Lonchura striata: one gene and its partners. The protein of the gene in region 3 interacts with the protein of the main gene of each other region in a biochemical or structural test. Links are inferred from orthologs where the notes say so. Each region holds a gene or a part of one and is shown on either strand. Other genes may lie near its edges.

Evidence for each region.
Region 1: the proteins of KHDRBS1 (region 3) and HCK interact in a biophysical measurement, tested with the Homo sapiens proteins (2 studies listed by BioGRID and IntAct, with this or other methods). The link is inferred for Lonchura striata from reciprocal best matches to the Homo sapiens genes KHDRBS1 and HCK.
Region 2: of the proteins of KHDRBS1 (region 3) and PRMT1, one has a biochemical effect on the other in vitro, tested with the Homo sapiens proteins (2 studies listed by BioGRID). The link is inferred for Lonchura striata from reciprocal best matches to the Homo sapiens genes KHDRBS1 and PRMT1.
Region 4: the proteins of KHDRBS1 (region 3) and RASA1 form a complex in vitro, tested with the Homo sapiens proteins (2 studies listed by BioGRID). The link is inferred for Lonchura striata from reciprocal best matches to the Homo sapiens genes KHDRBS1 and RASA1.

The regions. Positions count from the first base shown.
Region 1 is NC_134619.1:7,650,023-7,657,161, reverse strand, and holds the start of HCK (tyrosine-protein kinase HCK), read right to left. Parts: upstream 3,010-7,139; 5' UTR 2,898-3,009; coding exon 2,769-2,897; intron 2,368-2,768; coding exon 2,325-2,367; intron 2,062-2,324; coding exon 1,962-2,061; intron 1,812-1,961; coding exon 1,713-1,811; intron 1,572-1,712; coding exon 1,468-1,571; intron 1,085-1,467; coding exon 935-1,084; intron 633-934; coding exon 480-632; intron 174-479; coding exon 1-173. Other genes in the region: CCM2L (cerebral cavernous malformations 2 protein-like), read right to left, coding at 6,096-6,373, 6,576-6,714, 6,898-7,045. UniProt on the Homo sapiens protein: Non-receptor tyrosine-protein kinase found in hematopoietic cells that transmits signals from cell surface receptors and plays an important role in the regulation of innate immune responses, including neutrophil, monocyte, macrophage and mast cell functions, phagocytosis, cell survival and proliferation, cell adhesion and migration.
Region 2 is NC_134640.1:2,740,189-2,747,354, reverse strand, and holds the start of PRMT1 (protein arginine N-methyltransferase 1), read left to right. Parts: upstream 1-4,165; 5' UTR 4,166-4,186; coding exon 4,187-4,216; intron 4,217-5,694; coding exon 5,695-5,748; intron 5,749-7,166. Other genes in the region: DNA polymerase delta catalytic subunit, read left to right, coding at 183-296, 1,176-1,228, 2,056-2,153, 3,520-3,616. UniProt on the Homo sapiens protein: Arginine methyltransferase that methylates (mono and asymmetric dimethylation) the guanidino nitrogens of arginyl residues present in proteins such as ESR1, histone H2, H3 and H4, FMR1, ILF3, HNRNPA1, HNRNPD, NFATC2IP, SUPT5H, TAF15, EWS, HABP4, SERBP1, RBM15, FOXO1, CHTOP, MAP3K5/ASK1, MICU1 and NPRL2.
Region 3 is NC_134628.1:1,138,627-1,146,137, reverse strand, and holds the start of KHDRBS1 (KH domain-containing, RNA-binding, signal transduction-associated protein 1), read left to right. Parts: upstream 1-4,492; 5' UTR 4,493-4,572; coding exon 4,573-4,855; intron 4,856-7,511. UniProt on the Homo sapiens protein: Recruited and tyrosine phosphorylated by several receptor systems, for example the T-cell, leptin and insulin receptors. Once phosphorylated, functions as an adapter protein in signal transduction cascades by binding to SH2 and SH3 domain-containing proteins.
Region 4 is NC_134642.1:53,185,080-53,192,992, reverse strand, and holds the start of RASA1 (ras GTPase-activating protein 1), read right to left. Parts: upstream 3,002-7,913; 5' UTR 2,886-3,001; coding exon 2,497-2,885; intron 1-2,496. UniProt on the Homo sapiens protein: Inhibitory regulator of the Ras-cyclic AMP pathway. Stimulates the GTPase of normal but not oncogenic Ras p21; this stimulation may be further increased in the presence of NCK1.

The DNA of each region.
Region 1 (7,139 bases), on a different chromosome or scaffold from region 3:
GAATTCAGTGATGATGAAGATGGGCTCCTCCCTGGTGACCACGGCGTGCAGCTTCACCAGCTTGTCGTGCTGCAGTGTCTTCATCAGGTTTGCCTCCTCCAGGAAGGCTTCCACGGACATGCTGCCCGGCTTCATCGTCTTCACCGCCACCTTGGTGTGCTTGTTGTAGGTAGCTGGGGGTGCCACAACAGATCATTCCCACCCTGCCCTGCGAGCACTGAGCTTTGGAGCCAAAGTCCCAGCCCTGCAGACACAGCTGCTGTGGGAAGGTTGGAGGCCACACACAGCCCAAGGCTGTCCCCACCTGCCCAGCCCCAACCAGCCCCTGCATTAAGGCAGGGTCACTTCCATGTCCCTCTGCTTCTCTCCCTCCTTGTCTTTCCCACCCCACCATCCCTCTGCCTTCTCACACATCCCTCACCCTTCCTCCTCCACCGTCACCTTCATCATCCTCCCTGCCACCTCCCCCTCTCTCTCACCCATCCACACTTCTCCGAACTGCCCGGCTCCCAGCTTCCTCTCCAGACTCAGTGACTCCCGAGGGATCTCCCAGGCATCTTTCTCCCAGGGCTTCTCTGGTTTGGGTACACGGCAGGGGTGGGTGAGCTTCTGGCACAGCCCATCACTCTGACCTGAGGAGAGCATCCAGGGCCATCAGCCAGCCTGTCTCACTGGCCACACTGTGCTTCACGGGGGACTTCTGGCCACCATGGGCGTTCAAGGACACCAGCACCACAGCTGTGACAGCCAGCAGGCCAGCCATGGCAATAGGGGGAGGTCTGGAAGTCACTGCATGTTGCAGTCAGAGCCGCAGCAGGAGCCCAGGGGTGATGGGCAGGAGCCCCTCAGCCTCTGCACACCCCCAGCTGCCTGACTGCTTGGCTCAGGGACAAAGCTCCATTTGGGAAGGGCGGCCAAGCACCCCAGGGCTCACCTTTGTAGTGCTGGACCAGCTCCTGCAGCGTGTTGAAGTTGTTCCGTGGGGAGATGTAGAAGCCACCGCTGTCCAGAGTGCGGATCTTGTAGTGCTTCACTGCCCCGCCCCGCAGCTCGTCCCCGTCCCGCACCGAGAGCGAGTAAGAGCCTGGGCAGGGAGGGCTGAGCTGGCATCTCCCACGGGAGCACATTCCTGCTGCACCTGGCCATCCTGGCACGCACAGAGCCATCGCCCAGCAGAGCCAGCAGCACCCATCCCACGCTGCTGCCACCACCCCTTCAGCCACCAAACACCCAAAGCAGCCTCAAAGGGACACATCCCCCTGTCCCTGCCGTGGGATTCAGACATGTGGCAGTGCCACAGGCTATGGCAGGGGCACTTCCAGCCAGGGCATGGGCCTCCCAGTCCCTCCCTGCAGCACAGAAGATCCCCAGGGCTGGGGAAGGAGCTCCTCTTCCAGGCCAAGGTGGATGAGGGAAGCCCTTTGGGCAGCTGTTCCCCACCACTGTGCTATGGACACCTCTCCACACCTTTCGTTGTCTCGCTGTCCCTTATCATGAAGGACCCAATCATGTTCCCAGGGCCAAGGAGCTGCCGCTCCGCGTCCTTCCGGCTGATGTCCTTGAAAAACCACCTGCAGCAGAACCAAATGATCCAAGGAATGCTGGAGTGGGTCAGGGCTGGGGGCAGGACATGAGGCAGGAGCGGGAACAGCGGCAGTGGGGAAGTGTGGGACAGCATGGAGCCAGGATCTGGCATGCAGGGATGGACTCACTCCTCTGTCTCCAGCGAGTTTTCTTGGGCAACGTAGTTGCTTGGGATGAAGCCTTCACATCCTGTCACCAGCGACCGTGCTTGCCACCATTCCCCTGACCTATGACAGAAGTGGCATTGGGCTGGCTCCTGGCACCTGGACCTGGGCACCAGCAGGGTGCTCCTCCAGGGCAAATTCCAGAAAAAAATCCCAACAGGGCCACACAAGCCATCAGGAGACTGTGGACAGGAGGCTGCCAGCAGCACTTACTTCTCCAGGATCTTCATCCTCTCCCCCTTCTGGAAGCTGAGGTCCCCAGCGTTCATCGCCTCGTAGTCGTAGAGTGCCAGCACCACGCTGTCCCCCAGGCCTGCAGCAAGGGAGGTCCCTGGGCACCCCTCCCCATGCTGGGATGGGGTGCCTGGCCACTCCTGCCATGAACACTGGCCAGGACATTGCCAGGACCCCTACAGCACCCAGCACCTCCATCTTCATCATGTCACATCTGGCCCTTCAGGGAAACCCTGAGCTCCCATCCCTCCAAGATGTTCACCCTAGCTCAGAGAGGATTGGGCCACACTGCCCCCACACACTCCAACCCCCTGCACCCACTTGCAGCCCCTTTGTACCTACCAGCCTCAGGCAGGGACACAGCCATGCTGGGGACATGATTGTTCTGGAAAGTGCAACAAGACCACAGAGTGACATCACAGGTGGCAGAGACCCGTTTCCCATGGTGGGTCTTGGCCCCAACAGCAATGGCAGGAGCAGGAGGGCACCCGAGGGGCAGCACCAGCACCACCTGACACGACAACCCAGCCAGCACCAGCATCTCCACCCCCTCCCAACACCTTCATTTTTCTCTCTCTTTCTCCATAATTCCTGCATTCCCATCAGGTCCACTCTGTGCTTTGTCTCAGTGTGGCCTGGGCTCCCACCCAATAGCCAAGTCCCTGTCCCGGGGCATGGGCACTGCCAATGCCCTCAGCCGGCTCCACTCTCAGCGTTGGCGGCACTGCTGAGAAGAGGGGCTGAACCCCCTGTGACAGCTCAGCCCTGAAATCTCTCATCACTCACCCGCTTGTTGGTGGCTGTGGGGTCCCTCACATAGTGGCCCTGCTGGATGGTGGGGCCAGGATCAGGACCAGGATCAGTTTTTATCATCTTCTCTTGGACACCGGCTTTCTTTGACTTCACACAACCCATGCTGCTGCCAAGGAAGGGGAAGTGAGGCCATTGCAACAGAGGTGAAAGCCCCACTCCAACCCCAGTCCAGCCCTGTTCCCATCAGCTCCCACCCAGCACAGGGCCCCAGAGCCCAACCCAGTGCTCTGCTGGGACAGAGAAACTTTGCTCCTCCCAAGCTTCAGGGTACTGGGGTGCCCAGGGACACTCCAGAGGAAAAAGGATCTCCTGGAGATGTCATAGCAGGTAAAGTTTGGGGAGACACCAGCAGCAGCCACGGAGCAGCTTCCCTGCCCTTGTGGGATGCAGGACAAGGTGCAGGCACTGGGCACCATGGCAGCAGAGAGTCACACTCAGAATCTTCTGCAAAGAGGGGCCCTGATCCTGGTGAGCTTTGCTGCAGCTTGGGGGTCCCCACAGAGCACCCCTGGTGCCCATGGCCCCCACCACCACCACAGGCCACCACTCCACACTGTGCTCCCCTGATCTCTGCTGGGTGGGAGCTGCCCCAAACATCCAGTCCGGGGCAATGACAAATGCTCAACTTTCTCCAGCACCCCAAGAAATTCAGTGGAAAAAAAAGCTGCAAGAAGCAGCAAGAGTGGTAAACCCCTTGCAAATGTACTTCCCTTGGCCAGGGGGACCTGGGTGCAGAGAAAGCAGAAGGTGCTGGTGGTCACAGTGAAGGAGGAAGCTCAGGGCTGAACCCTCGATGTGCATAGCACAGCTCTTGAGGAACATCACTGTCACATAACACACCATGGTCACTCCTGGTCTTTCCAAAGCCTGGGCCAGCCTTGCTCCCAAGGGCAGAGCAGGAGCAGCCACGACAGCTCATCTCCCTCACTGGGCACAGCCTGGGGACTGTGCCAGATCCATCCTGGCAAACGCACTGGGGCCCAGCTTAAACTCAGACATGGCTCACACCATCACCACTGCAGGTATTTGCTGTTCCCGTCCCACACCGCCTCAGCGCATCCAGCCCTACAGAGCACAATCACCCGGGGCAGTCCAAGGGTCATTCCCACTGGCTCCTGTGGCATAGCTGGCATTCCTGATGTGTCCCACCCTGGAGAACCAGGTCCCAAGGCTCATGCGCTGTCCCCAGCCATGAGGACCAGGTTGGATGAGGATGCCCTTCGTTCCCAGAGCAAGGATGCCCGCAGCCCCCTGCCCTTGCTGCCCTTGCCCGTGCCTTCGGTCCCCGACAGCCCCTGCAAAGCCACCGGCAGGGACCCCTCGTCGGAGCTACACTGTGTCCAACCGGGGCTGCACCGGGACCCGTGAGATTCCCGGCCATCGCCTCATCCCGGGCACCCGGGGTCCGCCGCTCTGACCGCGACCGGCCCGGGGGGGGTCGGACCTTCCGGGCTGCCCGGGACTGGCGGCGGGGCTCCCTCGCCGCCCTCGGAGCTCCGCGCACGGCTCCGACCCTTCTCACCTTCGCTGCGCCCCGAGGCACGTCCCCGTGGCCGGTCCCGCTGCCAGTCCCGTCGCGGAGCCCCGGCTGCCGCTGCCGCTCCGCTCTGCCCGGTGCTCTCCCGCCGCCCGCCCGGTGCGGCCCCGCCCCTCCCGGTGCGGCCCCGCCCCTCCCGGTGCGGCCCCGCCCCTCCCGGTGCGGCCCCGCCCCTCCCGGTGCGGCCCCGCCCCTCCCGGTGCGGCCCCGCCCCTCCCGGTGCGGCCCCGCCCCTCCCGGTGCGGCCCCGCCCCCGACTCCGACTGGGAGGGTGCGGCCGGTGCCTCCTCTGCGGCGCTGGGAACGGGGATCAGCATCCCACAAATCGCACCAGCAAGGACATCCCAGCTTTGGGTGACCCCATTGCCTTTAGGGACCCCCGAGGGGTGCCAGAGCCCGTCTGTCCATCCGCCGTCCCCGGGACACCGGACGAGTTTGGGTCCCGCTCCCCAGAGCAGCCCCTAGGATGTTTCCCCGCCTGGTGCAGGGTCACGGAGAGCGGGGGGCACGGGGGGAGCACAGGACCCGGAGTCAGCCCGGTTTTCTGTCCCAAGAAGGAGAAAAGAAAGCCCTGAGCATCCGTGGTGGGGTGCAGGACATGAGGGCATCCAGGACACACTGGGGTGCATGGGACTGGCTTTGTGAAGCACAGCTCAGAGAGGTCCGGGTGTCCCTGCGCTTTGTGGTGTCCCTGCTGGCCCTGGTATTCCCGTGCCAAAGCTCCTACCCAGCCCGGCATGTTCCAGCTTTTCTCCTGGATTGCCCGGACAACCCCTGAATTCGGGATGGAGGCAGCATCAGCAAGGGGACCCACGGCTCTGTGTGACCCTGACCATGGGCTGCTCGCGTTCAGAGGAAGCAGCCGGGGTGGGAGAGCGTCCCACCCCAGGAGGGTTTGCATATGTAAATTTTTTTTGGTAGAAAAAATAAATTGCTCCGATAACCCCAGCGTCTGCTGCCCACAGAGCGCCCTGGAGCTGCAGCGCCGAACCCCGGTCCCCACCAAGGGACATTGGGCCAGGGAATGTTGGCTCGGGGCCATCAGCCACGGGCCAGCAGCCGTGGGATATTGGGGTACAGTGGCCAGGGGGAATCGGCTCGGGGACGGTGGCCAGGGAACATCAGCTGAGGTCCACCGGGGGCCGGGGAGCACGGCCCCGTCCCTCGGCGGCGGAGGGGCTGCAGGGCGGGACTGCAGGAAGCTGGTCCGGGGCAGGAACTTCCTTTTGTGAAACACCCGCAGCCCGCTGCCGGACGAGTCTCGCACAGGCCTCGCAGGCAGCAGAGGGCCAGCTGCAGCCACCAGCCCTTTCCTCTCGCAGCACATTCCCGCTGACCCCCTCCATTGCTCTGAGCATCCCCTGGAGCCAGCCAGGAACAGCACCCTGACATGGTGGTGACCTCCAGGTGACACTGGAGTGGGCAGGTGCTCAGCCCAGCCCAGCCCAGCCCAGCCCAGCAGTCCCCTGCCCCAGCTCACCCCCATACTGCAGCAACCGCTGCAGAAGAAACTGCTCTGCTCCACTCCCAGTCCCAGCATTTAATTGAAATTTGCAGAAATTACAGCACATGTGTCTCTCCCACAGCCATGGCTACCCTGTGATTCCAACAGCCTTGACAATAGCTGGCAGGGCAGTGCAGAGGCCTGTCCCCTCCCATGGTGACAAATTCACCCCCCCTGGTTCTGGGGCAGAGCTGGGCACCTGCTGAGTCTGGTCCTGGAGGTGCAGCACCACACCAACGAGCTGGGTTTTGGCACTGGCTCACAGGTAGTTGTCCTCTTCCTCCTCCTCCTCTTCCTCATCGCGTGCCAGCGCCTCGATGTCGTGGGTGATGTCCGTGATCATGCGGTTGAAGGACTCGGACTCGGAGCGCAGGGACCAGCTGTCGTAGCTGCGCACGGCCGAGGCCGACGTGTTGCTCATGCTGCGCTTGATGCGGCCGAAGCTGTCGGTGAGGATCCCACCCTCCCGGATCCCGATGCTCTCCAGGAAGGTCTCAAAGTACCCGATGTCTTGGTCAGGGATGAAGGGCCTCATTCCTGTCATAGGCACCGTAAGCCTCGGGAGGCTGCCCAGCTGGGCAGTACTGGGGTGCAAGGCCAGCCCTACTGGTTTGTCCCATCCTGCCCCAGCAAGCAACAGGGTCCTGACATCCCCTGAAGCACACCCAGCACCAGCCTCATGGCCCCAAGGGATGCACAGACATCACCAGGGTGACACAGAGTGGCTGCAGACACTCACCCAGGAGGAGGAACTTCCTGCGGTCCCCGTAGAGGCGCAGGAGCTCCGTGCAGTATTCCTGCACCGGCGTGCCCAGACGGTACTCGCGGAGCAGGATGGCAAACTGCTGGATCTCCTGTGGTGACAACTTGTTGCGCAGCTGTGGTGACACAGGGACAGGTTTGGGCTTTGGGACACCAGCTGCACACAGCCCCCAGCCCCCTGCCCTGTGTTCTGCTGCTGCTTTCTGGCACAGGGAGCCCACACCTGCCTCCTGCCCCTGCCCCAGCTGCTGGCACTGCTTTCCTGCTGCTTGTCCCTGTGCCCATCCCTGTGCCCTCACCGTCACCATGTAGTCCTGCAGCTGCTCCAGTCCTGTGCCACTCTGGTCACTGCCACTGCAGGCAGTGGCCAGGCTGTGGTGGGAGCGGTGGAAGGAGGGCGAGGAGGTGCCACTATAATACGCTTCAAAGGTCTCGTGGGAGCCATTGCTGTGGGAGGACACGGATGAGTGGGTCCCTGCACCCCTCATGTGCTCTGCTGCCCCCCACCCACTGCACAGCACCCACCATCAGGTAGGGCTGG
Region 2 (7,166 bases), on a different chromosome or scaffold from region 3:
TGCAGGACCCTCGGGTCCGGGGGGATTTTGGGTGTTCTGGGATGGATTTTTGGGGGGATTTTGGGAGGTTTTGGGGCTCCCTGTGACTCCGGGATTTTTGGGGGGATTTTGGGGGATTTTTGGGGGGATTTTGGGGGATTTTGGGGGATTTTGGGGGTCCCTGAGCCCGAATTTCCCCGCAGAGGGGGAGCACACCCGCTGCAAGACCCTCCTGACCGCCCGCTCCGGGGCGCTCTCGGCCTTCACCTCCAAGCGCAGCAGCTGCATCGGCTGCCGGGCCCTGCTGCCCCACCACGGTGAGACCCCCTCATTAACCAGTTAATTAGCCCCCGCACTAATTAACCCCTAATTAGTCACCTCGGGGTGGAATTCACCCGGTTTTGCAAAAAAAAACGGGTCAGAAACGGTCAAAATCCCCAAAACTGAACCTGAAAAAAGGGGATACTCGGAATGGAGCCCCCTCCTCAAATTAATTACCAGAATGCCTGCCCTAATTAATGGGCCCTGCTCTAATTAACGGGCCCTGCCCTAATTAACTCTAATTAATCCCCTCCAGCTGGAATAAACCTGGTTTTACCAAAAAAAAACGGGTCCAGAATGGCCAAAATCCCCAAAATTCGACCTCGAAAAATGGGATTCTGGGAATTGAAGCCCCCTCCCCAAATTAATCACCAGAATGCCTGCCCTAATTAACGGGCCCTGCGCTAATTAACTCTAATTAATCCCCTCCGGCTGGAATTAACCTGGTTTTACCAAAATAAACGGGTCCAGAATGGCCAAAATCCCCGAAATTCCACCTCAAAAAAGGGGATCCTCATAATTAAAGCCCCCTCGCCAAGTTAACCAAGCCTAATTAACAACCCCGCCCCTAATTAACGACCCCAACCCTAATTAACGACCCCGACCCGAAATTTCCCATCCCCGAAATTAATCCCTTTTCCCCAAAATGGGGGTCCAGGACCCCCAAAATTCCCAAAATTCAGCACAAACATCCCCAAAACTGGGGGGGCTGGAGCCCCAAAATCCCCAAAGTCAAGTCCCTTCCCCAAATTAACAAAAAATTATAATTTAAATCGTTAATAACTAATTAATACCTCCATAATTTAACCCATCCTGCCCAAAAATTTGGGGTCCCGGAGCCCCAAATTCACCCAAAATGGACCCAAAATCCGCAGGTGCAGTTTGCGATTTCTGCCGCCAGAGGGAGTCCGAGCTCTACCAGAAAGAGGTGGGGGGGGCTGGGTCCGAAATTTGGGGTTAAATTTGGGGTTTTGGGGTTAAAATTGGGATTTTGGGGTTAAAATTTGGGATTTTGGGGTTAAAATTGGGATTTTGGGGGTTAAATTTGGGATTTGGGGGTTTAAATTTGGGATTTTGGGGGTTTAAATTTGGGATTTTGGGGGTTTAAAGTTGGGATTTTGTGGTTTTGGTCCCGAATTTGGGGTTTGGGGGGTTTTGGGGTTTTAAATTTGAGATTTTGGGGGTTTTGCGGTTTTGAATTTGGGATTTTGGGCTCCCGAATTTGGGGTTTTGGTTTTGGGGGACCCAAATTTTGGGTGGATGGGTTGGGGATATTTTGGGGTTATTATGGGATGTTTCTCAGGTGAGCCAGGTGTGGCAGCTGGAGGGGTTTTGGGGATATTTTGGGGATATTTTGGGATATTTTGGGGTTATTATGGGATGTTTCTCAGGTGAGCCAGGTGTGGCAGCTGGAGGGATTTTGGATATTTTGGGGATATTTTGGGATGTTTTGAGGATATTTTGGGGATATTTTGGATATTTTGGATATTTTGGGATATTTTGGGATATTTTGGATATTTTGGGATATTTTGGGATATTTTGGATATTTTGGATATTTTGGGATGTTTCTCAGGTGAGCCAGGTGTGGCAGCTGGATGTGTTTGGGATATTTTGGGGATATTTTGGGATATTTTGGGGGTTATTATGGGATGTTGCTCAGGTGAGCCAGGTGTGGCAGCTGGATGTGTTTGGAATATTTTGGGATGTTTTGGGGATATTTTGGATATTTTGGGGATATTTTGGGGTGTTGCTCAGGTGAGCCAGGTGTGGCAGCTGGAGCGCAGCTTCGCCCGGCTCTGGAGCCAGTGCCAGCGGTGCCAGGGCTCCCTGCTGCAGGACGTGCTCTGCTCCAGGTACACCTGGGCACACCTGAGGGGCACCTGGGGCACCTGTGTGTCACACCTGTCACCTGTGTGTCACCTGTGTCACCTGTGTCACACCTGTGCCACCTGGGTCACCTCCTGTGTCACCTGTGTGGCACCTGTGTGTCACCTGTGTGTCACCTGTGTGTCACACCTGTCACCTGTGTCACCACCTGTGTCACCTCACCTGGGTCACCTGTGTCACCTGTGTCACCTGTGTGTCACCTGTGTGTCACCTCCTGTCACCTGTGTGTCACCTCCTGTGTCACCTGTGTGTCACCTGTGTCACCTGTGTCACCTGAGCCCTGTCTGTGTCACCTGTGTCACACCTGTGTGTCACCTGTCATTATCCCCATGCCACACCTGTGTCACCTGTGTGTCACACCTGTCACCTGTGTCACCATCCCTGTGTCACACCTGTGTGTCACCTGTGTCACCTGAACCCTCTGTGTGTCACACCTGTGTCACCTGTGTCACCTGAACCCTCTGTGTGTCTCACCTGTGTCACCTGTGTCACCTCACTCAGGTCCCCTCAGTCACCCCCAAATGTCCCAAAATCCCCAAATCCTCCTAAAATCCCCCAAACCCGCCCAGTCCTGAAATGTCCCAAAGTCCCCAAATCCCCCCAAATCCCCCCAAAAAACCCAAATGTCCCCAAATCCCCCCAAAATCCCCCAAATCCCCCAAAAAAACCCAAATGTCCCCAAATCCCCCAAAATCCCCCAAATCCCCTCAAAAACCCCAAATGTCCCCAAATCCCCAAATCCCCCAAAATCCCCCAAACTCCCCCCAAAAAACCCAAATCCCCAAAGGTACCAAAATGTCCCCCAGTCCTGAAATGTCCCAAAAAACCCCAAAATTCCCAAATGTCCCAAAAAACCCCAAAATCCCCAAATGTCCCAAAAATCCCCAAAATCCCCAAATGTCCCAAAAATCCCCAAAATCCCCAAATGTCCCAAAACCGCCCAATCCCCCAAAATCCCCAAATCTCCCCAAATCTCCCCAAATCCCCAAGTGTCCCCAAATGTCCCCAAATCCCCTCAAATCCCCAAATGTCTCAAAACCCCCCAAAATCCCCCAAACTCCCCCAATCCTGAAATATCCAAAAAACCCCAAAAATCCCCAAATCCCCCAAAATCCTCCAAATCCGCCCAATATCCCCTGAATCTCCCAAAATCCCCAAATGCTCCCAAATCCCCAAATGTCACAATATCCCCCGAATCCCCCCAATCCTGAAACCCCCCAAAATCCCCAAAAACCCCCAAAATCCCCAAAAAACTCCCAAAATCCCCTAAAATCCCCCCAAAATCCCCCCAAAACCCCAAAATCCCCTAAAATCCCCCCAAAATCCCCGCAGCCGGGACTGCCCCATTTTCTACATGCGCCGCAAGGTGCAGAAGGACCTGGAGGCGCAGCAGGAGCTGCTCCGGCGCTTCGGGGAGCCCGACTGGTGACCCCAAAATCCCCCAAATCCGCCCCAAAACCCCAAAATTTGGGATTTTCGGGGCCCACTCACCCCCCCAGCCCCGGCTTTTTGTATGGGAAGTTTAATAAAGAGCGAGTTTCTAGTGATTCCGTGTGGTTCTCTATCGGTTTTTTGAGGTTTTATGGGTTTTTTAATAATTTTGGGGGGGGTTTTTTGGAGTTTTTTGGGGATTTTTTTGGGTTTTTGGGATTTTTTGGTGTTTTCAGGAGGAATTTGCATTGATCGCTGCGGCCGCTAGGCGGCGCTGCGCGGGAGGCGTGGCTTGCTGATTGACACCTCCCCCGCCCAATCAGCGCGCAGAACCGCCCCGCCGCGCCGACCCGCGGGCGTGGCCTCGCTTTCACCCATGACTGACAACCCCCCCGCCCAATCAGCGCTGCGGGGCGTGGGCTAAGCCTGATGGGCGTGGGCGCCGCCCAATCATCACGCGGCGAGCGGGAAGCGGCGGCCAATGGGGAGGCGCGCGAGGGGGCCGGCGGCGGCCCCGCCCCCGCTATAAAAGGCCGCGGCGCTGAGGGCCGCCGCTGGCGCTCACAAGATGGCGGAGGCGGCCAATTGCACCATGGAGGTGAGAGCGGCGGCGGCGGCGCGGGAAACGCCGGGCCTGAGGGCAGAGCGGGCCCGGGCGGGCGGGGAGGGCGCTGGGGGGGCTCGGCGATGGCGGGGGGCGGCTCTGAGGGGATTGGGGCGGCTCTGAGGGGCTCTGAGGGGATTGGGGGGGGTTTGAATTGCTCTGAGGGGATGGGGGGAGCTCTGAGGGGCTCTGAGGGGATTTTTGAGGTTCTGAGGGGATTTTTGGGGCTCTGAGGGGATTTTTGGGGCTCTGAGGGGTTTTGAGGGGATTTGTGAGTCTCTGAGGGGCTCTGAGGGATTTCAGTGAGGCCTGGGGTTTTTTATGGAATTTTGGAGGATTTTAATGAAATTTTGGGGGTTTAAATGAAATCTCGGGGTTTTAAATGAAATTCTGGGGGATTTTAGTGAGAATTTGGGGGTTTTAGTGAGATTTTGGGGATATTAGTGAGATTTTGGGGGTTTTAGATAGATTTTGGGGGTTTTAGTGAGATTCTGGGGGTTTTAGTAAGATTTTGGGTTTTTATGAAATTTTGGGGGTTTTAGTGAGATTTTGGGGGTTTCAGTGAGATTTCGGGGATTTTAGTGAGATTTTGAGTTTTTTTATGAAATTCTGGGGGATTTTAGTGAGATTTTGGGGGTTTTAGTGAGATTTTGTTTTTTTTAATGAAATTCTGGGGGGTTTTAGTGAGATTTTGGGGGTTTTAATGAGATTTTGGGGTTTTAGTGAGGATTTGGGGTTTTTAGTAAGGTTTTGGGGTTTTTACTGAGGATTTGGGGGTTTTTATGAAATTTTTGGGGTTTTTATGAAATTTTGGGGGATTTTAATGAGGTTTTGAGTGAGATTTTGGGGTTTTTAGTGACGTTTGGGGGATTTTAATGAGGTTTTGGGGGGCTTAATTAACTTGAGGGGGTTTAATGAGGTTGGGGGTGTTTTGTCGTGACTGGGGGGGGACACAGGAGCAAATTCCCAGGGACCCCAAAATTTTGGGTCTGGGACCCCAAAATTCCCAGGGACCCCAAAATTTTGGGTCTGGGACCCCCCCAGGTTTCCAGGGACCCCCAAAATCTGGGTTGTAACCCCCCCAAATCTCCTCTGACCCCCAAAATTTGGGGTTTCAGTCCTCCCCTTCCTCAAAGTCGCCCCAAATTTTGGTCCTGACCCCCCTAAACCACCAAAATTTGGGGTCTTGAGCCCCTATATCCCCTCTGCCCCCCAAAAATGGGATCGTGACCCCCAAAAATTGGGCTTGTGACCCCCCACCCCATTTTAGGGTCCCCCAGCCCCATTTTAGGCTCTCCAACCCCAATTTAGGGACCTCCCACCCCTTTTTTAGGGACCCCCAACCCATTTTTGGGGTCATTCACCCCATTTTTAGGCTCCCCCCACGCCGATTTTGGGGTGCCCACCCCAATTTTGGGGTGCCCGGCCGGTTTTGGGGTGCCCGGTGACGTCTCTCGTTCCTCTTTCCCCAGAATTTTGTAGCCACCCTGGCTAACGGGATGAGCCTGCGGCCGCCTCGGGAGGAAGTAAATATTCCCCAAAAACCCCCAAAATCCGGGAAAAACCCAAATTCTGCCCCAAAAAACCCCAAAATCCGGGAAAAACCCAAATTCTGCCCCAAAAAAACCCCAAAATCCGGGAAGAACCCAAATTCTGCCCCAAAACCCGGGAAAAACCCAAATTCTGCCCCAAAATCTGGGAAAAACCCAAATTCTGCCCTAAAAAACACCCAAAATCCAGGAAAAATCCAAATTCTGCCCCAAAACCCGGGAAAAACCCAAATTCTGCCCCAAAACACCCCCAAAATCCGGGAAAAACCCAAATTCTGCCCCAAAATCTGGGAAAAACCCAAATTCTGCCCCAAAAAAACCCCGAAATCCGGGAAAAACCCAAATTCTGCCCCAAAAAAAACCCCAAAATCTGGGAAAAATAAACATCCAGTCCCAAAATCCGGGAAAAATCCTGAAATTCTGGGGGGAAAAATCCCCAATCCAGCCCAAAAACCCCCAAAATCCAGGAAAAACCCAAATTCTGCCCCCAAAAACCCCAAAATCCGGGAAAAATCCAAATTCTGCCCCAAAACACCCCCAAAATCCGGGAAGAACCCAAATTCTGCCCCAAAACCCGGGAAAAACCCGAATTCTGCCCCAAAATCTGGGAAAAACCCAAATTCTGCCCCAAAAAACACCCAAAATCCGGGAAAAACCCAAATTCTGCCCCAAAAAAAACCTGAAATCCAGGAAAAACCCAAATTCTGCCCCAAAATCCGGGAAAAATCCAAATTCTGCCCCAAAAAAAACCCGAAATCCGGGGAAAACCCAAATTCTGCCCCCAAAAAACCCCAAAATCCGGGAAAAACCCAAATTCTGCCCCAAAACCCAGAAAAAACCCAAATTCTGCCCCAAAAACCCCCAAAATCCGGGAAAAACCCAAATTCTGCCCCAAAAACCCCCAAAATCCGGGAAAAACCCAAATTCTGCCCCAAAACCCGGGAAAAACCCAAATTCTGCCTCAAAATCCAGGAAAAACCCAAATTCTGCCCCCAAAAACCCCAAAATCCGGGAAAAACCCAAATTCTGCCCCAAAATCTGGGAAAAACCCAAATTCTGCCCCAGAAAACCCCAAAATACGGGAAAAACCCAAATTCTGCCCCAAAACCCGGGAAAAATCCAAATTCTGCCCCAAAAAAAACCCGAAATCCGGGGAAAAGCCAAATTCTGCCCCAAAACACCCCAAAATCCGGGAAAAACCCAAATTCTGCCCCAGAAAACCCCAAAATCCGGGAAAACCCAAATTCTGCCCCAAAAAACCCCAAAATCCAGGAAAAATCCAAATTCTGCCCCAAAACAGCCCAAAATCTGGGAAAAACCCAAATTCTGCCCCAAAATCCGGGGAAAAACCAAAATTCTGGGGGATAAAGTGAAATTCTGGGGAAAAGAAAACC
Region 3 (7,511 bases):
CCCGGCCCCCCCCGCACTTGGACCGGCCCTCTGGCCGCACGTGCACACGGAGCCTTCCACGCCAGCATCTCTCCCCCCCCGCTAGCGCAGTGGTACAGCCCGCTCCTCCCCACCGCGCTCAGTGGTTCGGCCCGCCCGGGGGTTCCCGCGGCTTCCGCTGCCCCGAGCCCGCGGCGGGAGCGGGAGCGGGAATCGGGACCGGGATCGGGGACCGGGAGCGGGAATCGGGACCGGGATCGGGGACCAAGGACCGGGAACGGGGCTCGGGATCGGGGACCGGGAGCGGGAATCGGGATCGGGGACCGGGAGCGGGAATCGGGGACCGGGGACCAAGGACCGGGAACGGGGCTCGGGATCGGGGACCGGGAGCGGGAACGGGGCTCGGGATCGGGGACCGGGGACCGGGAACGGGGCTCGGGATCGGGGACTGGGAGCGGGAATCGGGGACCGGGGACCAAGGACCGGGAACGGGGCTCGGGATCGGGGACCGGGAGCGGGAATCGGGGACCGGGAGCGGGAATCGGGACCGGGATCGGTGACCGGGACCGGGACCGGGGACCAAGGACCGGGAACGGGGCTCGGGATCGGGGACCGGGGACCAAGGACCGGGAACGGGGCTCGGGATCGGGGACCGGAAGCGGGAATCGGAGACCGGGATCCGGGACCGGGGACCAAGGACCGGGAACGGGGCTCGGGAGCGGGAATCGGAGACCGGGAATCGGGACCGGGAACAGGGACTGGGAGCGGGAATCGGGAGCACGACCGGGGACCAAGGGCCGGGAGCGGGAATCGGGTACCGGGACCGGGGACCGGGAGCGGGAATCGGGACCGGGATCGGGGACCAAGGACCGGGAACGGGGCTCGGGATCGGGGACCGGGAGCGGGAATCGGGATCGGGGACCGGGAGCGGGAATCGGGGACCGGGGACCAAGGACCGGGAACGGGGCTCGGGATCGGGGACCGGGAGCGGGAACGGGGCTCGGGATCGGGGACCGGGGACCGGGAACGGGGCTCGGGATCGGGGACTGGGAGCGGGAATCGGGGACCGGGGACCAAGGACCGGGAACGGGGCTCGGGATCGGGGACCGGGAGCGGGAATCGGGGACCGGGAGCGGGAATCGGGACCGGGATCGGTGACCGGGACCGGGACCGGGGACCAAGGACCGGGAACGGGGCTCGGGATCGGGGACCGGGGACCAAGGACCGGGAACGGGGCTCGGGATCGGGGACCGGAAGCGGGAATCGGAGACCGGGATCCGGGACCGGGGACCAAGGACCGGGAACGGGGCTCGGGAGCGGGAATCGGAGACCGGGAATCGGGACCGGGGACCAAGGACCGGGAACGGGGACTGGGATCGGGAATCAGGGACAGATCGGGATCCGGGAGCGGGATTGGGATCCGGGATCGGGGACCAAGGACCGGGATCGGCAATCGGGATCGGGGATGCGGACCGGGATCGGGACCGGGGACCAAGGACCAGGATGGGGATTGGGATCGGGACCGGGAACCAGGATCAGGATTGGGGACCGGGACTGGGACGGGGACTGAGGACCAGGATCGGAAACCGGGGATCGGGATCAGGGACCGAGGATCAGGATCGGGACTGGGATCGGGGACCAGGATCGGGAATCAGGGACCGGGATCGGGAATCAGTGACCGGGATTGGGACGGGGACCGGGCACCAGGATCAGGACCAGGGACCAAGTATCAGGATCAGGACTGGGATGGGGGACCGGGATTGGCACGGGGACCGGGGACCAGGATCAGAAACGTGGACTAGGGTTGGGATCGGGGACCAGGATCGGGACCGGAGGCCGGGATCGGGAATCGGGGACTGGGATCAGGATCGGGGACCGGGAACCAGGATCGCAGACTGGGGATCAGGATCAGGATTGGGAATCGAGGATCAGGATCGAGGAACCGGTTCCGTGGTCAAGAACACACGGGGAAACACCAGCTGGGGCACGGCGATCCCAGCTGGAGAACGGCGCTCCCGGCTGGAGCACGGCATTCCCGGCTGAATAATCCACGAAGGGGCAAAAGTGAGGGTGAGAAAAAAGGAACCAGCAAACCTTTGTCCCTCAAAATACCCAGAGAAGCTGCTCAGTGCCTCTTCGCTGGCTTTAATGGCTCTGCAAAGTCATAACCGGAGTCACATAAACTCTGATAATTGTGAAAAACGCCAATCACTTGGTTTTTCAAATTTTAAGTTTAATAATAATGAAATGGTTATAAAAATAGTAATACAATTAGAGCAATAAAGTTTAGAGTTAGGACAATTGCAAGACAATAAAAAGCAAAGAATTACGGATGTCTGGATGTTCTTGGACACTTAAGTCACAAAAAGCATCCCTTGTGAACAAAGGAATAACCTTAAAAGCAACAGCCTGTTGCATATTCATATATCCCTCATGGTTATGTATACATTCTATTTAAAACAAGAAACTGTTGTATGTCAACTAATTCCATTAATCCCCACGGTGTCTTGGAGTCTGAGCAAGGCCTGAAGAAATTCGCTTCTTCTGATACAAAACTCATAAATTCCTTTTCTTTGGAAGATTTAGGTGTTCCTCAAAGCGAGTATCTCATTCCTAAAAAAAAAAAAAAACCTTCCCCCACATACATAGTCTCTATTTTAACATTATGTTGGGAACCTAAAACTGTATTTAGCACACTACTTAAGGGAATTAATACAAAACTTGGAGTTACTCTCCTCACATCCACCATTCCCTGCCTCCATCACCCCCTGCTCCCACGACGGGAGTGACTGGATGGATTTCAAAGTGGCAAATACTTTGTTCAGTGCCGAGACACGCATCTTGAGCATTAATGTTATTGCCTTCACAAAGGAATCCTAGTTGCTCCTTAGCAACACAGGATTCTAAGTTTGCTGTTTGCCACTTTTCATTCAGCTTTCGTGCCCACACTCTATGCTCTGAGGGGTTTTCTTATGATTTAATTCTAGTGCGATGATGGGGTGGGTCACATAAACAGTGGCATTACGTATAGGAAGCACAAAGGCAGTGGGCACATTAGAAGCAGGATCACAGGTAAAATGGATGAGTTACTCTGTCCCCACATCCAACATTCCCTGTCTCCATCATGCCCCACTTCCATGAGGGACTGGATGAGTTACTCTCTCCTCACATCCATGATTCCCTGCCTCCATCACCTCTAATTCCACGAAGGACTGGATGAGTTACTTTCTCCACATCCACCATTCCCTGCCTCCATCGTTCCCCACTTCCACAATGGAATCGATGAATTACTCTCTCCTCACATCCATGATTCCCTGCCTCCACGCCACTGGTTCCAGGACAGACTGGATGAGTTACTCTCCCCACATCCACCATTCCTTGCCTCCATCGTTCCCCACTTCCAAGACGGACTGGATGAGTTACTCTCTCCCCATATCCACAATTCCCTGCCTCCATGCCGCCGGTTCCACAAAGGACTGGATGAGTTACTCTCTTCACATCCACCATTCCCTGTCTCCATCATTCCCCACTTCCATGACAGACTGGATGAGTTGCTTTCTCCACATCCACAAGTCCATGCCTCCATCATTCCCTGCCTCCATTCCCTGCTTCCATGACGGACTGGATGAGTTACTCCCTCCTCACATCCACCACTCCCTGCCTCCACAACGGATGGGATGAGTTACTCTCTCCCCACATCCACCATTCCCAGTCTCCATCATTCCCTGTCTCCACGAAGGGCTGGATGAGTTACTCTCCACATCCACCATTCCCAGTCTCCATCACCCCGATTCCAACCCCGCCACCGGCCCCGCGCCATTCCTGAGGGGGGCGCGGGTGGCGCCCGGCGCATGCGCGGAGCGCTCCCGCGGCGATTCCCCCTCACACACGGAGATACACACAGAGACACACTCACACACAAACATACACACACACAGACACACACAGACACAGACACACACACACACACACACACACACACCTACCACACAAACCCCGCTCGCTCCCTCCGCGCCATTCCCGCCCGGTGCAGGCGCATGCGCGGCGCGCTCCCGCGGCCGTTCCCCTCACACACGCATCCCTCCCCTCACACGCACCCCCCTCACACACACACACACACACACACACACACACACACATAGACACAGACAGACAGACACACACACACACACACAAAACACCCACACACAGCCCGCAGTCGCTCCCTCCGCGCCATTCCCGCCCGGCGCAGGCGCATGCGCGGCGCGCTCCCGCGGCGGCTCCCCTCACACTCACAGAGACCCCCCCCACACACACAAACACAGACACGCTTATACACATAAACATACAGACACACACAAACACACAGAGACGCAGACACAGACACATACACACACACACACACACAACCCCCACAAACCCCGCTCGCTCCCTCCGCGCCACTCCCGCCCGGCGCCGGCGCATGCGCGGCGCGCTCCCGCGGCTCCCCTCACGCTCGCGCCGGGCGCTTCCGCCGCGGCAGTTCCGGCCCGGCCGCTGCGCGGGCGGTGTGGCCGCTCCGCTCCCGCCGCTCTCGCCGGCCCGGCCCCGCGTTCCCTTCCGCGGCACCGCCTCATGCAGCGCCGTGACGACCCCAGCGGTCGTTTATCTCGGGGACAAGGCCCCGGTGGCCGCGCAGCGCCGCGCCGGCCGCCCCGTGGTGGCGGAGGGGCCCGCGGGGCCGCAGCGCAGCCGCCGCCGCCCGGTGTGAGCGTGGTCGGTGGGACATCGGGGCCGGGGGGATCCGGTATGGTTGGAGGCAAGATGGAGCCTGAGAACAAGTACCTGCCCGAGCTGATGGCCGAGAAGGACAGCCTGGACCCGTCCTTCACGCACGCCATGCAGCTCCTCACCGCAGGTACCGGGAACGCGGCGGGGAGAGCGGGTCCCGGTGGCCGTTCTGAGGGCTGGGAATGAGATATTTCTATGTGGAATCGCAAGGTTATTTCCACGTGTAAAGCGAGAGTTTTGTGGGTGTTTTATTGGTGGTTGTGTTAGGTTGCATTGTGTGAGCTTTCGTGGTGTGGCCTCGGCCAGACAGGAGAATCAAAAGCCTTGAGATGACCGAAATGACAGGAGAATCAAGAGAATCAAAAGCCTTGAGATAACTGAAATAAAAGGAGAATCAAGAGAATCAAAACCCTTGAGATAACTGAAATTAAAGGAGAATCGAGAATCAAAACCCTTGAGATAACTGAAATTAAAGGAGAATCAAGAGAATCAAAAGCCTTGAGATAAATGAAATAAAGAGAGAATCAAGAGAATCAAAATCATTGAGGTAACTGAAATTAAAGGGAATCAAGAGAATCAAAAGCCTTGAGATAAATGAAATGAAAGGAGAATCAAAATCATTGAGGTAACTGAAATTAAAGGAGAATCAAGAGAATCAAAATCCTTGAGATAACTGAAATAAAAGGAGAATCAAAATCCTTGAGATAACTGAAATAAAAGGAGAATCAAGAGAATCAAAATCCTTGAGATAACTGAAATAAAAGGAGAATCAAGAGAATCAAAACCCTTGAGCTAACTGAAAGGAAATAATTTTTTTAAATCATTTTAAATGAAATAATTTTTGAAATACTTTTTAAATATAAGTTTAATAGTCGAAATAAAACGTGGCGGTATTTATTTTTTTAAATAATATTTAAGTTTAAGAATTGAAGGAAAACCTGGTGGTAATAGGAAATCTGCTGATGATAATTGCGATGTTCAAGCGATGCCCAGTTCATCACCTCATCCCCGAGCTCCTTCCAGGTTTCAGGGTGGGAGTGACAATCCCAGGGGACAGTCCCGGGCCTGGAATGTCCCTCTGGTGACCTGCTTTGGGGACAGCTCCTCTCCTTTGCTGACAAGTCTCAGGCTGTCGGTAATGCGAGTCCCATAAAAATCCCTAAAAATAGCTGGAAGAAAAGGAGCTGTGTCCCAGAAATCAGGGGGATTTCTGTGGGCAAATCGGGAGGATTGCTCGGATGACATCTCCATTGGTGCTTTTTTAGTTATTTTTTATTATATATTTATTATTCTATTTTGTTCTTTATTTTTAATTATTTTTTTTCCACCTGCTTTTAAGATTGTTAAATTATTATATTTTTATCATTATATTTACTGTTGTTATGTTAATATGCTTATCATTATATTTATTACATTTATCATTATATTATTATATTTATAATATTTATACTTTTATTTATAATTATTTATTACCATATTATAATATTTATAATATTTATAGCTCTATTTATTATATTTATTATTATATCATTCTATTTATTATAATATATATAATTAAATTTATCACTATATTCATTATCGTATCTATTATAATTTTTATTGGGATTTAAAGATTATTTATTAGACTTTTAGAATTATTCTAATTAATGAAATTATTAAATTTTATTTTATTACATTTTATAATAATTTTAATGGTCATTTAGCCAATGGTAATTTATTTAATTATTATTTATTTAAGTTATTTGAATTAACAATTTAAATTTCTTAATTGGAATTTTTTAAATTATTTATTTCTTCACCTGCTTTTTTTCTTAAATATTTCTTTTTCTCTGTGCTTAAAAATGCAGAGTTTTGCTGCAGCTCTGGAGGTTTTAGGAGCTCATTTTATGCAGGGAATAATTCTTGGGAATTGCTTCTCTCCCTTTGTGCAAACAACCCATTACAGCATCACCCACCAGCATCTGGAGCTAAATAAATGGGTTTGTAATCCGATTTTCCATCGGTTTCATGGGTTTGATTAATAAAATCCTTCACCCAGCTCGGCTGTGGCGCCTCCCAGCCAAAGGAAACCCAGGGAATTTGCAAATTCCCACATCCTGCAGAGCCTCCTTCACCTGAGGGGTGTGACGAGAGTGTAGGGAGGGCTTTTTATTCATTAATTTATTATTTTAATGACTGCAGCTTTGGGGGATGTAAAATTGCAGCAGCTCCAGCTGTGGGTATTTTGAATTTTTTTTGGGGGTAGCATTCCCAGTCCCAGTTCAGGGTGAGCAGAGCAGTAAAACAAGAAAGAATTGGAGGTAAAATGGTGGGTTTAGGTGATTTTTTTTTTGCCTGGATGACCCCCAGGGTGCTCTGGTTTATTTGGAATTTCACTCTGGGCCAAAGCCGTGATGCACAACTCCAGCAAAATGATTTCCAGACACAGAACCCATCCTGAGGGTCAGCAGGATTCTAATTCCAGCCTTTTTTTCCTTCCCAGAAGTGGAAGTTGCTCAGGCTGCCTGCCTCGGGGAGGGAGCCCTGCTGGAATTCTGCATTCATTTCTTTAGAAACATCTTAAAGTTGTCTAAAATATTTGGTGGTTCTGTATTTCTAGAGGAAATTGTCTCTTTTTTTTTTTGCTGGCAGTGATGAGATTCTTATCGATTCCATTGACTCTGGTATGGAAAGGAAGAAAAACTGAAAACTGGGATTTCTTGCATTTTCAAATATAATCCTTGTTTCCCTCCTGGGATTTGGTGTCTGTATGACCTTCCTTTTGCATAGGAACAAGAAAATCC
Region 4 (7,913 bases), on a different chromosome or scaffold from region 3:
TGCCACCTTGAACATTCATGTGAAGATATCAGAATTTAACTCTATGATCAGGCAGGAAAAGTCTACTTTAATGCAATCCCTTCTTATTTAGTATTCCTCTACCTTTCTTCACCTTCAGTGCTTTTTCTTACTATGCTGCCTGAACAAGCTCCAAGAGCGACTGTAAAAATATGTATCTGCTCTGGGCAAGATTTGTTTTAATCAGACAGCATTTTTGACAGTCTATTTCATTTTGTGTGGTTGATCACTTTCAGATTTCAACTGATTTCCATTTCAAATTAATAAGCACTGCTCAAAAAATACTGTATGAAAATGCCAGTTTTGCTGCAATACTAGAACAGCTCTTGCCACATTAATGCAATGTTAGGACAGAAAATAATTTTGTCAACTAAGATTTTAAGTCAAATACATAACAATCAGCATTCATTTATTCATTAAATCCAAAGGCATTTTCTTAAGCTATTTGCACCTCTGTCACTGAGCTCTGCAAATGGGGCAGAAAGCAGGGAAAAAATTACCTAAAACAGTTGCCCACTTTATTCCCTAGTATCCTGTGCGTCCCACCTACCATTAATCTGCAATATAAACACACCACTGCTGTGCTACATAAAAATGAAAACTCCCCGCCACACTTGAATAGACAAGCCTCATGTTAGTTTCACTCTAGGTCAGAGATTTAAAAAATCAACCCTACTGGGGGATTCTGAGTTTGCTAATAAAGAGAAGGTCTTATATGTTAATATCCTCCCATGGTTTGAATATTAAAGAATACACACTAAAAGAACACATATTCCCCAAACCTCCCTGAGCAAACTATATTACAACATCCTTATGCGAACTGCAGAACCTGCAGGTGCTTCATTTCCCATCTCTTCATACTAGTCACTGTGAAAGCCAGATGGCCAACTTTACACTATTTAAAAGTATACTCATGTTTAAAAAAGCACTTCTTAACATCTTTACAGCCTAAAAATTAGAAGACGAGGAATTCATACTGTATTTGGTTTGTGTTCGAGCTTTTTTGTTTGCTTTGGGCTTTTTTTTTTAATTTGCAAAACAAGCTCAGAGAAGCTTGTTATAGAAGCTATTACAATTTTATGTCCTACTTAAAAGGACAATGGCTCCTGAAATCCTAAGAGTATGTAACGTAATGCTGAAGTTAACTCTGTCAGTCAAGTTATGACAGAATATAAGGAATGAACCCAAAATTTCACAGATTTTTAGGTTAACTTTCTGACCTATCTATATATATCTCTTTAAATACAAATGTATGTTACTCCCTAAATTATCCACTATACTTGTAAGAACTACAAGAACAACATATTTATAGAAATTATACTAATGAAAAAATGTAAGCCTCTGAACCATTTCATTTTGGGGAGAATATGATAAGGAAATGGAAGAAAAGATTTATTCTCTATTCTAATACACACCTTGGAAATGCTTTGAGTAAACCTGTAAATCTTCTACAGTGAAATCCAAAGGCTGTGTTTAGAGTACTTACTAATTTCATGGATTCTCTATAACATTACCCGATCTTATATTTCACACAACTTCAACAAAGAACTAGTCTGCCTCTAGTGGAAGATTCTATTACTACCACTAAAGGAATCTAAATTAACCTGATGTACGGATAAATACAATAAAACCTAACTATAAGTTTACAGTTTATTCCAAATGTCTCCTCTCTCCAAGCACAACCTATATAAAAACAACTCTAAATTGGTTGAGCAGCAAGGTAGTTAAAACATTTATAAAAATACCAATCGGTTAACACTTTTAAAATTAAGAAATTATTTTAATTCCTTTTAAATCCATGATGCGAGAATTGAACTGCCTGAATTTTTAAAAAGATCGAACATGTGGACATTACTTTGGTTGATTATATATAAATTCGAAAAGGTAAGTTATCTTTTTTTTTTCAGCAGAAAGCAATACAATACAAAATGATGACATGGTAAATAAAGTCTTTTATGCCATGGATTTTTTTTTTCTATTTACTATTTATTTGTTTTTCTTTAGAAATTAAGGTTATGACTCTACTGTGAAGGGGATACCAGTGACTGGAAAAGTCTCCCCAACAGGTAGTTTAAACCACAAGCAGAATACCTCACTCTTCCTGGCAGCCTCTGCAGTACTGCTATGAAAACTTGCAAAAAACTAACTCAGTCGCCCTTTTCCCGTAAGCTGATCCCACTCAGTACAGGAGGACCAGCTCCCCGTGAAGGGGAAGGAGTCCAACCTCCCTGCTGCTGCCGCTCACTCTCCCGACTTTCGGGTGGGCTGCGCTCCGCAGACTACGGGCAGTGTCCCCGCGAAGCAAACTTCCTGCTGGAACGGAACCAGAGGAGGGAGGGAAGGTGACGAGGTGGGACGCAAAGCTCCTGCGAGACTTCCAGCCGAGTTTGACATACACTTTTCTCGGCTAGCGGTGGGGGGTCGACAGCACGGTACCCACTCCCCACAATGACTGAGGCGGGGGCGGTGGGTACTCACTGATTGGTGGGGGGCGCGTTGAGCGGAATGGCCACCTCTTCTTCCTCGTACTCCGGTCCGTCCAGTGAGTCTCCCTCGTCCACTGTCCCCAGCCCCCCAGCCAGCGGGGGCGGTGGTGGCGGCGGCGGCAGCGGGGGGAAGCCTAGATCGGCAGCCCCAGCGGTCGCTGGAGGGGCTGGCCCCGCGCCCAGCTCCAGCAGCCCCAGAACCGAGCACAAATCCGGCCCGCCTGGGGGGCCGCCGCCGACAAGGAAGAGGCTTTGCGGCTCCGGCGCCCGGCCACGGCACAAGGCGGGGCAGTGCCCCAGCTCTCCTGCTGCGGCGGCTCCCGCCGTCCCGGCGACAGCGCCCGAGACTCCCTCCTCACCCGTGGCCTCGGCCGCCATCATGTTGAGCCTCGCCAACGGCCTCACGCCGGGGAGGAGGCGACAAAGGGGCTCTGGGCCCCTGCCCCCAGCGCGCCTCCCCCCGACGCGGCAGGCAGCGGACTCGGGAGGCGGCTGAGTCTTCCCGGCGGAGACGGGCCGGGAACAATGCCCGGCTGGGCGGGGGCTGGACCGCTCCACAGGGCCCCGCGCGGCTGCCTCGGTCCGCGACCGCCCCAGGGAAGCGCCGCCCTCCTGGGGAGCTCCGCGCTTGCGCGGCACCTCTGCGCCTGCGCGGGCGGTACAGCGCCGGCCGGGCGCAGATAGCTGCGGATAGCTACGGTTATGCGGTCTAGGGAAATAAAGGGCTCGTTCCGCGGTCGAGTGGGTGGGAACGTGCGGGGGTAGGGTCGGATTCACTAGCTCAGCCCAACATAAGTACTGTAACTCTGGACCCGTATGATCCAGTGCCAGATCCGGAAGCCTTTTGAACACCTCCAGGGATGATGACTTCATTATCTCCCTAGGCAACGTGTTCCAATGCCTGACCACCCTAACAGTGAAGAAAAGCTATTGGGCGTCTTCCAGCTCAGCTTATTCTGTATGATTCTGTATAATCTGAATCTCTTCCGTCTCAGTTTGAAGCCATTTCCCCTGATCCTGCCACTGCAGATACAGTAGAAGAAACCAGTCCCTACCTCTCTATGCCCTTCCTTCAAGTATTGATAGAACAAGTGGAAACGGTTTTGTCAAGGGGACATTAGACTGGATGTTAGGAAAAAATATTTTATTGAAAGGGTGGACAAGCACTGGAACAGGCTCCTGGGGCAGCACCTGTCAGTGTTAGGTTCATGGTTAGATTTGATATGGGTAGTATTTACCAACCTTAATGACTTTGATTCAATTCTAACTATGGATTTTAAAAATACATCCTGGTGGTACCGTTTACCTTGTAAGAACTGTGACTAAGAGTCTGCTTTACTCTGTACTTCTCTGAAACTGTATTTTTGTCATGTTACTCAAGCTTGCAAACTCTCAATCCCACCTTAAGCAAATCTATACCTAAACTTCACTATCAACCATTTTTCTCCCTAAAGTGGGTTTCTTTCATACATCAGCTTCACTTCATACCTCTGGGATCAAGAAGACATCATGTGATGGCCCTTACCCGGCAGTACAGTATGTAGCTATCTTCAGATTTTTTTGTTTTTTTCCTCCCAGTGCTAAAAGAGCTGACAAATAGCAGCACGTTTACACTTGCATGCTTCTCTGCAGTTCTCAAAAAGCATCTAAACATTCAGGTTTTCAAAGCTTTGTGTTACCCAAAAGTATTAAGTTAATTTTTCCTGAGGCAATTAGAACAATCTACTGCTCCCACTTTCACAGCTCTCAAGCTCTTTTTATCTGCTGAAATTGTTTCATATCTTTCCTTCTGAGGGCAAACTCTGCTTCCAATTTACACTACTAAGACTGAAACAGAGATTTTTAGAGTTCTCTTGAGTTAACAAAATTAATTGAGCATTTAAATTTTAGCTTGTGGAATTATGTGTTGAATATTAACCTTTTACTTAAAAAACCTCTGCCATGGTACAAAGGCCATAAGAAAATGCAAATTTCTGAAGCTTCTTACATAAAGAACAATACCAAAGAATGCAAAGAACCCAGATAAAGAAGCTGCTCTTTCTCCAAGCTTATCAAGACTGATAGACGTACTCAGATAAGCACCAAAAGACTGACAGAGCACGTGCAAAGGAGAAAAATTCAATCATGAGGAAGACCACAATCTTCAGCCTCAGGACCACCGAGAGACCCCTGTGTGACCACCACAGCAAACCACACATGCCTAGAAGGGTGTAGATTTATTTAGCATGAAAGGAGAGGACAAGCGGGGCCAGGGGTTAAATATGCATTAAAAAGTTGCATATAGAACACCTTTGTAAATAAAAGTTTGAGTCAGATTAAGGCTCGATGCACAAGTCTTGGAGAACAATCTCACTTGTGCCTGGTGCTGACAATACGTACCCACTTCATAACTTCCCCAAGTTGTGTAGTCTATTTATTTATTCCACATATCATTTCAAGACATGTGGAATTATGCTGGGTTTGTGCCTAGGGTCACAGTGAAAAGAGAAGCTGGCTCTAGCCCTCAGTCTACACCATTGTAATATACCCATATATTGCTGTTTTTCTGCAGTATTACCATTCTGAAATTGTTAATTTCAAGGAATATTGTAGGCTGCTCTCCCTGTTGCTTTCCCTTTTACTGCTTCTTGCTTCCCTCACAGATTTCAAAACAAAATAATTTTATCCTTGTTACTCTAGTAGTAGCAATAAGCCTAAATATAGAAATGCAGTGTAAATATTTAAAATATTCCCTTTATGAGGCAGGTTTTCTAAGTGCCTTTCAGGGCAGCAGTATGTGTGTGGAGGCGTGGGAATTAGAAGGACAGCTGTACTAAGAATTTTATTCAGGAGAGGGTAATGTGTCTACAATGCTCTTTCAAGAGATTTGTTTTGGTGAGAACAGTTTTAAATTTGAAAAGGACTCTGCAGAGAAAGAGCTCCTAGTAATATCAGCTGAGCACCCAACACACCTTTTCTGTTCACTTTGCAGGCAAAGTTGCCATCCTGAGTTATTTGGTGCTAGAGGTTCTACACGTCAACCTGTGTCACTTCTTAAACCTTTGAAGCTGACTGCCTCTTTAGAATCATGAAATATCTCGGATTGGAAGTGATCTATAAGGATCATTGAGTCCAACTCCCTGCCCCACTCAGTACTACTCAAAAGTACAGCTACAAGCCTTTATTGGACTTTTTTATAAATCGATGTATTTGGATGAAGGGGCAAGTTGTTATAAATGCATTTTCCAATTTATTAATTAAAGAAAATTCATTAAATGGTCCAAATTTAAATTTAGAGAAGAACAATGAAAAGCCCCTCTCAAAAAAAAGGGTCAGTGCTGAGCCCAGGTATCAGTACTGGGTGAGACACAGGTTTGACTGCTAACAGCAGAGGGTCCCCTATGCTTCACACTGACTGTCCTGTCTGAGCAATTTTTATACGGTTTTTCTTGCCCGAGGCAGAGTCCCTTTTCTTCCTTTTCAGACTGCACATATTCATGTGGAGTCTATGTGGCAAGTTGAACAAAACATGTCCAGAGAGTGATGAACACCCATGACCATGTTCCCAGAATTCAGTATTGAGATGTATCACCCTGATGGCTCTGGCTATCTCAATCTCAGATATTTATCGCATATTCATCATCCAGGTAGACCACCTTGATGGATGATTCATCTCTGGGCTGGCCACATTCATTTGATTGTAAATGAAGTCCTCCCTCCTTTTTCCAGGTGGTTTTGACAATGTGTTACAATCCCTGTCACTGACTTGTGCATTTTAAAAATTTCTTATAAGAGTATATATTAACAGTACATAATTATAAAATATATGACAATTTTATTTGCACAAATTATCATATACACATATAATAAAGTATAACAATATTTTTCTTGATACTTCTTGAGCTTCTGCAAATATGTCTTATTCTGAAATCTCTGGTATACATGACACTAGGATAGTCAGTCCTTCATCCCTGCTATGTCAGAATGGTATCAGGCTAGATTCCCTGAAAAGTACATTTCCATGTTGCCTAGTTTGAGCTAATATAATAGTACATATTTCAAGAACAGTGGCAGGGCAGGCAGGTATATGCCTGATTAGGAGCTCAGGTATTCAGGCTGGGTTTGTCACTGATTTATATGGCATTTGGCAAGTAATTTGAGCAAAGTTATTCTTTCTCCATCAGTAAAGTAACAAGCTATTTCACAGATATGTCAGAGAATCAATTGGGATTTTTTACAAAATTTGACAGCTGTTAGACACCCTAATTATTAGGGTGAAAAGCCACATAAAGTGTGACACAATATTTCAGTTATTAAAAGGGAAAGTGTTACTTTTATAGTAAATACAAATACCACAAAACATTCCCTTCCAGTCCTTATTTCCTGCCTCCCTCTTCTGCCTGAGCACACTTTATTTCCACCTTTCTAAAGTTTTATCCCATTTCAGAAATCAATATCATCAGAAGAATTTTCAGTCTTTCTGTCATAGGACACAGTGTTAAGAAAGCAGCTTTCCTGTAATGAAGAACCTGGAATGATCCAACTACTCCAGTTCTTCCCCTTCTACTCCCACAAGTGTAAAAAAAACAGTTACAGAGTGTTGCTTCTTTCTGCCTGCATAGCTGTAATGCTACATGTATTTCTTTTCTGCTTTTCATACACTTTCCATGTTAGCAAGGAAGTTGTGGGTGCATGGGGCTGGGAGGAGACACAACCAGGACAGGTGACCCCAACTGACTAAAGGGGTATTCCGGACCATGTGACATCATAATCAATATATAAAATAGAGATAAGAAAGAGGAGAAGTGAGAACATTTGGAGTGATGACATTTTTTTCCCAAGTCACCATTACATGTGATGGGGCCCTCTCTGCTGGAAGTGGCTGAACAACTGTGCTCCCTTGGAAAGCAGTGGATTGATTTCTTGTTTTGCTTGTGGGCATGGGTTTTGCTTTCCCTCTTAAACTGTATCTCAGCCCATGAGTTTTCTGGCTTTTACAATTTAATTTCTCTCCATAGTCCTACTGGTGGGGCAGTAAGCAAGCAGGTCTCTATAGCTTGGTTTCTGCCTGGGCTTTTAAACCATGACACCCTGTCAATCCAACACCTCTTTAACTGTAGTAGTATATAAAAAAGTGCTACATGATTGCTCTGTCAGTCTTTCTTAGTGTCTGTGATCCATTCTGTAAAATCCATATTATTATTGTCTGTGTTTAAATGCAAGAGAAACCTTACTATTTATATTTATGTATATTTATTATTTATGGCTTCATAAAAAGCATGTTTGCATTCTCCCATGAGCCTGTATATACTGACTCCAAATATAGATACACTGAACAATGATGTAATGTTTTAAGCAACACTAAAATTATCCTCAACTTTGGAAGCTGATTTGTTAGTTACTGAGTTTTTTCTGTAAAAAGGAATGAAA